Drosophila melanogaster: one gene and its partners. The protein of the gene in region 3 purifies or fractionates together with the protein of the main gene of each other region. This does not show direct contact. Each region holds a gene or a part of one and is shown on either strand. Other genes may lie near its edges.

Evidence for each region. Proteins that work in one complex are often made in the same cells at the same time.
Region 1: the proteins of Ski6 (region 3) and Rrp4 purify together in Drosophila melanogaster (affinity purification with mass spectrometry, with the first as the bait; one large-scale study listed by BioGRID). This does not show direct contact.
Region 2: the proteins of Ski6 (region 3) and Rrp42 purify together in Drosophila melanogaster (affinity purification with mass spectrometry, with the first as the bait; one large-scale study listed by BioGRID). This does not show direct contact.

Annotation. Positions count from the first base shown.
Region 1 is NT_033778.4:23,554,452-23,557,873, forward strand, and holds Rrp4 (Rrp4), read right to left. Parts: upstream 1,767-3,422; 5' UTR 1,688-1,766; coding exon 1,241-1,687; intron 1,178-1,240; coding exon 728-1,177; 3' UTR 567-727; downstream 1-566. Other genes in the region: ItgaPS5 (integrin alphaPS5 subunit), read left to right, coding at 2,305-2,474, 2,573-3,413.
Region 2 is NT_033778.4:16,012,937-16,016,616, reverse strand, and holds Rrp42 (Rrp42), read right to left. Parts: upstream 1,710-3,680; 5' UTR 1,640-1,709; coding exon 1,583-1,639; intron 1,526-1,582; coding exon 1,329-1,525; intron 1,278-1,328; coding exon 1,112-1,277; intron 1,058-1,111; coding exon 587-1,057; 3' UTR 567-586; downstream 1-566. Other genes in the region: EMC7 (ER membrane protein complex subunit 7), read left to right, coding at 1-92, 158-286, 353-478; Prosbeta1 (proteasome beta1 subunit), read left to right, coding at 1,921-1,965, 2,029-2,503, 2,572-2,726; CG8389 (uncharacterized protein), read right to left, coding at 3,081-3,680.
Region 3 is NT_033779.5:13,220,881-13,224,257, forward strand, and holds Ski6 (Ski6), read right to left. Parts: upstream 1,550-3,377; 5' UTR 1,481-1,549; intron 1,428-1,480; exon of another isoform or gene 1,351-1,427; 5' UTR 1,342-1,350; coding exon 601-1,341; 3' UTR 517-600; downstream 1-516. Other genes in the region: mRF1 (mitochondrial translation release factor 1), read left to right, coding at 1-385; CG16812 (uncharacterized protein), read left to right, coding at 1,849-1,867, 1,992-2,408, 2,465-3,052, 3,111-3,377.

The sequences.
Region 1 (3,422 bases), on a different chromosome or scaffold from region 3:
GAAACGCGGAATTTCACTTGCAAAGTGCGTACAGATTACAAATGAGAGGAAAACAATCGCTTGGCGTCGCTTAGAGATGTGCACTATGCAGATATCGATGTTTCTGTGTGAATTTTGCTAGCGAAACTTTTTGTTTTTATTTTACACAATCAAGTATTTGTCACAAATACAACGTCACACTAATATGGGATGACATAAAAATAAAAAATTTATGCCGAGTCCCTTTATCATCCAGGCAGAATCACTTTTCATTTGCACAAACCGCCAGGGCGTTGCCGGATCGCTAATGTGTGCTGCCACTCGGTGCGCGTCCTGGTAAAATATCGATATTTTAGCTGCTTTTTAACTAAAAGTAATTTTAAGTCGAAACTTTTAACTAAAACTAAAGTGCTATGAAAATGTATGTATTTTTTAAACGCCAATAAAACCTAACTTATATGCAATAAATGTTTTCTTTTTTAAAGAGTTTGTGTATTTTAGAAAACCTGACTTTTTATTAGGAAACCAACATTTATCATACAAATTCAGGAAATATCAAATGAACATTTTTATTAAACAGAAAGCTTGCGATAGTTTTCAGTGTATTTAAGATTTTAGCCCACTGATGCAATTTTGAAATCCACCAATTTCGAACCCATTGAAATGTTAATTTTTCATTTGACGGTAGAAAATACATTAACCTCTATTTAAGCTACTTGTGTATAAAATATATGTATATGCATATATACTACTCGTCCGCGTCCCTCAGACGAGCCTGCGTCTGCTGGCCGATGTCGTAGATGGCGTTCTGCTGGAGCAGCTCGTGGGCCTCGTAGCGCAGGGACTCCTCGTAGGCGTACTGGATGCTGGTGTCGTAAATCATCAGCTTGCACTTGGCCAGCGCGAGGATGGAGTTCCTCAGCCGGGCGATCACCTCCCGATCCGCGCGCGGCACATGCTCGTTCAGGTTCTGAGCGAATCCTCCCTCGCCGCCTTCCTCCTCCTGGCCCTTGGTCGGCGATATCCAGATGTAGCCATTGTTGCCCAGGATCACGGAGGCGCCGCAGGGCAGGTTGTGGAAGTGCATCTTGCGGCGCTTGACGAGAGCGGGGAACACCTTGACCAGGATGCCCTGCGATAGTTTTCCATACTTCAAACTGCGCGTGTACAGCGAAAGGGAGCCCTCCTCAAAGATGTTCTGGTGGCCAGAGAAGAAAGATTATATAGTTACTCCAGTACCAGCAAGTTAGGAAGTACCCACCTGGACCTCGGCAGAGATGAGATCGCCCTCGTCCAAGTATCGTCGCATCATCTGCTCGTCCTCCGCCGATCTCCGTCGTAGTTCTCCGCCTGGCAGATTCACCGAGGAGAGCAGTAGGATGGAGTCGAGCCGGGAATTGGTGTCCACTCGCCAGCGCTTCTGTTGCACCTCGCTGACGCGGGCCACCACCACGTCCCCGATCTCGCCCACATAGCGACTCTTAAGCGGGCGCACCGAGATCAGCTTGTTGACCTTCTGGATCACCCCGGCCACCGAGGACTTGATGTTCTCGTCCTCGACGAAGGTTCCGTGGCCGCGCATGAATCCCGCCTCCGGCATCAGCACTTCCCCCGGCGTATACACCCTCGGCTGTTCCTCCGTCTGCGCGGCCAGGTCGCGCCAGTCCACCCGGTCCAGGGCCAGATCTATCGCCGCGTTGGTGGACATCTCAGTTTGGCCAAAGCGAGGTAAACAAAAATTTAATTTTGAGCGAGGCAAAAAGAGCAACAGCTGGCAAAACACGCGCCACGCGGAACCGGTTCGGGTTCGGGGTTCGTTGCTGGTTCCGGTTCAAGTTCCATTTCTTCGCCGCAACTACAGTGCCTATCGGTTGCGGCGAATTGCAATTTTAAAAACCAATTTTGTTGAAATTCGAAAGTAAATGTAACGAAGACTTGCAAATTCTATTGCCTAACAAAAAATACATACAATCGAAATAAAATAAAAGTAAAGGGGATTAAAAAAAACTGTTAAAATCACGTTTTTAGTTTCCTTAGTTTTATGAAATAACATTTATTGTTAATGTGTATAATATATATGTCGAAAGCATTTTTGAGTTTGTCCTTAGATAAGCAGCATACAAATTATAATTTTAAAGAACAGCTTTGAAATAATTGCTCTGGCATTTCAATGATAAGTTATCTGTCTTCTTTAAGTTAGCTAAGCTCCATTAGACTTCTGAAACATTCATCATCTTGTTTCAGTTGGATTGCCTCAGAGCTCGCAGGCACATTCCCATCCGGAATAATATTTTCTAGAATAAGACTAAAAACTTGAAGTAGAAAATGCATCGGCTTCTGTTCCTAATTTTTTTGGCTCTCAAATACCAGAGCAATGCAATGAACTTTTCGCCATTGCCGAATCGAGTGATAGATGCTCCAAAGCACCTAAAAACCCGAATGATCCAAGTGCGAAGCTCCTACTTTGGATACTCGCTCGTCATCCGTCCAACCAGGTGAGATCTTATCCTAGGGAAGCTATCGATCCCAGACTGTGATTGCACTTGAAATTCCATGAAGTTCCTTCTAACAAAAAACTTCGTGATCAATGCAGCATCTTCGTGGGAGCTCCGCGTGCTCAGTCCACCTTGGAATCGCAAGGCAGCATTAATGAGACTGGAGCTGTCTACAGATGCCCCCTGGCCAGTGGATCCTGCTCGCATTACGTCCTAAACGACAAGCTAAATAAGCAATTCCAGTGGCTGGGCGGCTCTATGGATGGCGGCACCAAGGATACGGACAAGCTGCTCGTGTGCGCACCTCGGTTTTTCGTGCCGAAGAACAAGAACTATGGCCAAATGAGAGGAATTTGCTACTGGGTTCGGGACACAGTGGCAGACACTCCTCCGCTGAGCGACGTGAGGACTATCAGTCTAATCCCTTCGCAAGCAGAAGAACATTTCATGCTGGAGCTGGGGCTCAGTGCCCATGTGACGGACGACAACTCGGGGTTCCTGATCGGCGCCCCGGGAGTCCGTAGCTGGAAGGGATCGGTGTTAGTGCACCGCGGAGAAGATTTGGCTGCCCAGGGAAGCTATGCAGTCAAGATGCTCGATTCGTGGGATTGGGTAAAGAATCACTTCACATACGTCGGTTACGCCCTGAGCTCCGGATACTTTAGCAGCAATAACCGGACCAGTCTGCTCTACGTGACCACCGCGCCGAGCTCTGTCCTGAATACCGGCAAGGCATACATTTTCGACGTTGTGGGAGAGATAGTCCGTAAGCTGCATGTGTTTCACGGCGAGCAGTTGGGCGAGTACTTCGGTTACTCCGTGGTGGCGGAAGATCTCAATGGCGATGGACTAACGGATGTGGTCGTATCCGCGCCACTCAACGCTCTAGGGGATTCCTATGACGTGGGTGCCATATACGTGTTCATCAACAAGGGATTGGTGAGTTAA
Region 2 (3,680 bases), on a different chromosome or scaffold from region 3:
TGCAGCCCGCCCAAATTATGCAGGTGGCATATCCCCTGCGCGTGAAGCCACTGATGCCCTTTAAATACTTCCAGACCAGAGAGCAGTGGAAGGTGCATCATTATATTGCCACCAACGGAAGAATCACAAAACTAACTTTTGCTCTTGACCCACACAGATCACCGACTTCTTGTTCAGCCCCATGGTCCTAATGATGGTCTTGCCTCTGCTCCTTATGCTGGTGCTGCCCAAGATGATCAACGATCCCGAGACAAAGAAGGAGATCGACAATCTGCAGTTCCCAAAGGTAAGCCGTGAGGATCATGTATAGCACAGCACTATAGTATTATATGAATCATGCTCTGCTCCACAGATGGGCAACGATATGCCCGAGATCAGCGAAATGCTGACTTCACTGCTAACGGGCAAGCAGCCCGAGCCCAAGGAGAAGAAGCCTGCTCCGGCCGTCAGGCAGGCGAAGAAGCGCAAGGACCAGTAGTAGTTGGCCACCAGATAGCTTTTAGTATTAAGCTTAATCGGAGCGCCGAGCTCCAAGTCAGAGTCAGATCGTTTAAATAGTAAATTTTCATTACAAGACTTTGCCGCTTTATTTAAGAAATCCTACTATTTGCGGTCGCTTGAGTCCGACGCGCTGCTGCTCCAGATTTAGCATTTTAGTGAGCAGCCGGTCCAGATGCTCGCCAATGGCCAGACCCAGCTCCAGACAGTTGCGCATGGTGTCCCGGTGCATGGCTCCGCCGCCGGTCAAGTGTGTACCCGAAAGGAATGCCTGTCCATTCCGCATGGAAACTGACACAACCATGCTCACTGTGCTGCAGACTTCCTCCTCCGCCGAAGGATCCACCAGGACATAATCACCGATCTTGCAAACTGTGACCAACAGCGGAACCGTCTCGATGCCGATGCGGGTGCAGTCATACGGATTGTCCGATATGATGAGGTCTGTGATGCCGGCATCCAACATGGTGGCTGTCACCCGGGGCAGCTTTGTGTTGAACAGAGCCGCTTTGGCGGCCAGCGACACTGCGTCGTGTAGATTGCCGCCACACTCCAGAATCTGCGAGAACAGGGATTAGCATTTTCGGTATAATTAAGCACACTAGAGTCTAACCAGGATGTCTATGTACAGCTTCCAGCACTGCTGACCCGGAATGAGGCACAACGTGCGGTAGTTGAAGGCCAATGGCGATTCGTAGGCGTTCTGCAGGGAGAGAATAAGTTCTTGGGCCAGATCCGAGCCCCCGCGTCCTTCAAACTCCGGCGTGGCATTAGCAGAGCTGAAATATATATGTTATGGCATATTCTTCGAACTTCAGTTGCATCATTACCAATCCACAAAAAATTCCAGTTTACCAAACTCGGGCGTCAGCGGGTTGGGTACATCAATCTCGGTTTTGACGCCCACCAGTATGTCTGTGTTCGCCAGCCGAAGGCGAGCGGATCCACTGGCATTGCTAACCAGTCCAGTTTCCAGGTCCATGGGCCGGTAATCTCGTCGTGAACGTCCATCGCAACGAAAGTCATCCTGGAAACGCATAGTTTAAGGTACAGACTATATTTCTTGCATAACCGTTTAACACACCTCCACGCCGTGTAGAATATATGTTTTTTCAGCTTCGCTCAGTGCAACGTATGCCATTTTAGACTTAATTCAAGAAAACAAATATTCAAAACAAATTCAACATGTGCAATGAACCCACATCGATACTATCGATATACCGCAAAGCAGGGCTGCTGGCACTTCGTTTTTACTTTACTGAACTGTTGTCAGTGCGAAAGGTGTATGTTTTCATTTGAAGCATTTCATTTCACATCGCCATCTGGTAACACTTATCCAAAACAAGCCAGTCATTTCGTGTTCGTGCGGCGTTTCAACAAATATCAATTGTAAATTGAATTGTAACAAATTTAAAGATCAATATGCAGCCCGACTTTGATTTCACCGACACACCGGTCAGCACTGGTGTAAGTATGAAGAGCATCAGCCACATAACTTCGTACTAAGAGCACAATCCTACCTATTTGCAGACCACCATTATGGCAGTGGAGTTCGATGGCGGAGTGGTCATTGGAGCCGATTCGCGCACCAGCTCGGGCGCCTATGTTGCCAATCGGGTCACCGACAAGCTGACCCGCATCACGGACAAAGTGTACTGCTGCCGCAGTGGCTCGGCCGCCGACACCCAGGCCATTGCCGACATTGTGGCCTACTCGCTGAACTATCACGAGAATCAGACCAACAAGGATGCTCTGGTGTTCGAGGCCGCCTCAGAGTTCCGTAATTACTGCTACAGCTACCGCGAGTCCCTGCTTGCCGGCATCATTGTGGCTGGGTGGGATGAGCAGCGCGGCGGCCAGGTGTACAGCATCCCGTTGGGCGGCATGCTGACCCGCGAGTCCTGCACCATCGGCGGATCGGGATCTAGTTTTATCTACGGATTTGTTAGGGAGCACTACCGCCCCAATATGGCGCTGGAGGATTGCGTTACATTCGTCAAGAAGGGTAGGTAATCCCAAAAAAACCAAAACAGTTTCCCTTCAATCGAATCCCATTTAAACCTCCTCCAACAGCTGTCCAGCACGCTATCTACCACGATGGCAGCTCCGGTGGTGTGGTGCGCATTGGCATCATCACCAAGGATGGCATCGAGCGACGCATCTTCTACAACACAGAATCGGGCGCATCGGCTGTTTCCAGCACTCCCAGCTTCATTTCCTCGGAATAAATAGTATACCTACCCAAGTAAGATCGATCAGAGAAAGAGTTGCAAACTCGTCTCATGCTAATAAACCTGGTTTTTGTAATATGCATACTTTAATTTGTATTTTGGCTCTTATGGCAGTACAAAAGTTAGGTCTAGGGGCTAAAATGGTAATAAATAATCGAAAACCTAAACCTAAGATGCATAGTCATACAGATAGTGCTGTTCCTGACACTGGTCCTTCCTCACAACTCAGATAACTACTGCGGCGAGAGTGGAATGTTCCCTACGGGGAAGTCATTTCATCGCCTATCACATGACAGTCAATACCGATATCCTTCGCTTAAACTCTTATCCAGTCAGGTAGTGACCAGAGATTTAGGAGTTGAGTTTGGCCACTTCAGCTGCGTCTATAGACTGCGTCTCCATGGACTTGTTGGTGGCACATCGCTGCCTGCGGTGGCGGTACAATATCTCCGGTGTCCAAACAAGAACCACCACCAGCAGAATGACTCCTTGAGCATAAAGGCAGATTAGGTAGGAGTCGGCGTAGTCTCGCACCCATCCCAGCAGCTGGCCCACTGTGATAACAATAACGCCCTTGGACATCATGCTCAGACCCAGACCGCCGGCCAGTTTTTCCGAGCGGCAATGCGCCGATATGGTGAGATTGTTGTTGATTACAGTGGCTGATTTCATCATGCCTGTCAACACAGACATGGTGATGATCACGGGCAGCGTTTGATTCTCGGCAAGCACACAGCGAGCGACAAAGAGTCCAACAATGCCGATCAGGAACACTACGCGATAGGGTATTCTAAGGTGATCTGTGACGATGGGCAGCAGCAAACGGAACACAATGTCGGCGCCAGCCACAAGGGACATGCAGAAGGCCACCATTTGGCTGTTAAGTTGTGCCGTTTGTCCAAGAAAACCAGGAAAGATCATCGTGAAGTTTATGGTGGCCGTATAGACTAG
Region 3 (3,377 bases):
TGTTCATCTGCCCACGGGTCTGGCGGTGGAGGCGCAATCGGAACGCTCCCAGCTCAAAAACCGGGAGCTAGCGATGAAGCGTCTACGGTCGCGACTTGTGCAACAGCAGTTGGAGAGCGTTGAGGCTAGCAAAATGGCCACCAAGAAGGCGCAACAGGGTAGTCTCAATCGCAATGAGAAGATCCGTACCTACAATTTCGTCCAGGACCGCATAACGGATCATCGAATTCAAGGCGGTACGCTGCACAACCTCAATGGTTTCCTCAAGGGCGGCGACCAACTGAGTGGACTAATAGAGAAGTTGCAACTGGAACATCGAAGGGAACGACTAAAGGAGCTCTTGGATAGGTGGGAGCCACCAAAAGAAGCTATTGAGAAAAACTAGAGCTACTTTCGTTTGTTACTACATTTATACGCCTGTGTTTTAGAGGATAATTGTGCTTTTGCAACAGAAATTATATTAAAAGAGAGCAAGGGCAGCCATCTGAATACAATGTTAAAGACACTATTTAATTTGTAAATGTTGGTTCCTTTTTATTATAATTGTTGCCCTTCAATTGTAAAAAACGACAAGATTGGAATAGAAAAGATTACTTTATTTCAACCAACTTTCGCAAAGTCAGAGGCACTGCCCATGTGCAGAAGGTGCTCCTTGACTGCTGCCTCCAGAATGTCCCTTATTTCGCGGCAACCCGCCATAGCAGTCTCGATGACGGTTTCCAAGTGATCGATGTGGAACCGCTCACTCATCTCAAGAAAGGCGATTTTCTCGGCGGTAGGCAAGGCAGCCACGGTTAGTTTCGGTCCGCCGGATACCTCCTCGAACTGAGAGATGTCTGTGAGCGGGATGTTCGATTTGCTCAGTGAGGCGGTGCAGGCGACAATGAACTCATTGAGGCAGATTCCCGCATCAATTAGCGCCAGTGTGGCGGCATTAAGAGCCACCGCATAGTTGGCGCCGTCGTCTTGGAGCACCTCCACGTATATGTCTATCTGGGAGCGGGGATATAGTTCTGATTTAATGGCAGCACTTAGCGCCTGCTGCAGGTACAACTTGAACTCCAGAGATTTGCGATCGCCGCGCGGCCTATTTTTGCGCTCCGCCGTGGAGAAGGTTGCCTGACTGTACTGACAGTTGATGACGGACTCTGTCTGATTGCCCTTGGCCTGGTGGGGTCCATAGACGGCAGCCAGAACCTTGGTGTTTCCCTGCTCCATGTAGGCACTTCCATCGGGCTGCTCGAAGACTCCCAGTTTGCACTTGATGCGGCGCAATTCATGAGGACGTCGTCCGTCCAGACGGAGGCCCTGCTCACTGAGCAGATCGTATTTACCAGACATATTTTGAAACTTTAGAAATACAATTATTTTGATTTTAACTAAATATCACACGTGCGGCGGGATTTGTTTACAATTTTAACAACAGTGTGGAAGTACTAAAAATACCGACAGTCCATGAAAAAATCCTTTTTATACTAACTTCTTTTAATATGTACACCGTACGTATGTAAGAGTAAATAAATAATTAAGCATATATTGCCAAAGTGTACTACATTAAATCACGATATATAGAAATTTAATAAGGATTTTAATAAGATTCTTTAAATTTAAATTTGAACAGTGTTTGCTTTGATTACCCCTACTACAACATTTTGGAATTTAACAACACTAACACATGGTCTAATCGATATCCGATAACCGAATACCGATAATCGTTCAGGATTTGTGGTAACTCTAAAATATATAAATAGTTTCGAGTGCAAAAAACGGAATTTATGGGAATAAAATAAATAAATAGTAGCTGAATCGTGTAAGAATCTGTGCTTGCCAGCACCAGAAATACGCAAAATGTCCAAGTCAAGCGCAGGTGGGTTTATAACATCGTGAAAACGAAACAAACTGAACAGACGCTTCCGGGTGCGAAACAAAAATAAAGACCTAAAAAATATCACACACTTTAAAAATAATGAACTCACCACCGAAAATTACAGCACGCTGGGTAAAATTCTTCAATGCGGCCGGCATCCCATCTCCTGCGGCTGCCGGCTATGCCCACGTCTTCGTGGAGAACCGCATCCAGGACGACATGCTGTTGGATCTTAACAAGGAGTATCTCCGGGAAATGGGCATAACCTTGATGGGCGATATAATCGCCATCCTGCGGCACTCAAAGACCGTCTGCGAACAGAATGCCCGGGAACAGGTCCTCACAACGGAGGTGGTTCAATCAGTTGTCCGACCGGTATCGCCAAAACCCAAAGCGCCGGTTGCAACTCCAAAAGCAAAGGTTTATCCGCCTGCGAAACCTGCAAGACGGGTGCTTCCGGAGCACGAGGGCAAGTACAAGGTGACACTGCCCTCGGGAACCACCGAGCGCAGCAAACAGATCTTAGCCAAGCGGGAAAAATGTAAGATTACAGATTTCTAAAGAACAAGATCAAATTTTCAATATATCTTCTTTTAGTATACTCCGATCGTGTGAGCAGCTCCAAAAAGTCGGACATATTTACGCGCCTGCATGCCGAGGACGAGGCGCAGGAGGGCATTGTCTCCAGTTCGGGCGAGAGCAGCGTCCGCGTGCACGTTGCCGGCGCATCAAAAACAGCGGCCACCTCCAGCAATAATTCGGTCTTCGCTCGACTCGGTGGCAAGCAGGGCGCTCTTCCGGAGGAGTTCACTTCGACCAGGGAAATCAAATCGATCCTTAAAAACACACACCGTACAGTTGGTGGTGGAGGAGGAGGAGGAGGGGTCACCAAGAACTCGCCCATTGTGAAAGCGAAGAAGGTGGCCGCTGTAACGCAGCAAAAGGTCATGCTAGTTCACAAAGTGCCTCTTAAAAAAGGCGACGACGACGATGATAGCATGGACGATTTCGAAAGTGACGAAGAGGATTACATGTCCAGCGGAGAAGATTTTGATATGGGAGCCGGCGAAAAGATTGTTAAGTTCGCCTCGACAGCGGAGGTTCGGGAAATCGTTCCCGAATCGGCATACAAAAATAGGCAGGGCAAAAGTTTTGCGAATAATATTAAATCAAGGCTCGGAATGGGTATGTTTGCTTCAGAGCAGAAGTGGCACAGTCAATTAATTTATAACATTTTTTTTAGTATCCAAACTTCATGCCACGAAGAAGACATACAACCTAAAGGCATCGCCTGCAAGGAAACCACAGGCTCGACTCAGTCCTGTTAAGGGCAAGACCATACGCATGCGCAGCGACGAGCTGTTTAGCCGACAGGACACGGTGCCCGTCCACAGGAGGCTTGGAAAAACCGCGACCTCCGCTCCCCTTAGAGCTCCACCAGCTCCGCCACATCGACAGCCGCGACCGGAGCCACAGAAGAAATATGTTCCGCCAAGGCGCCATAACAGCA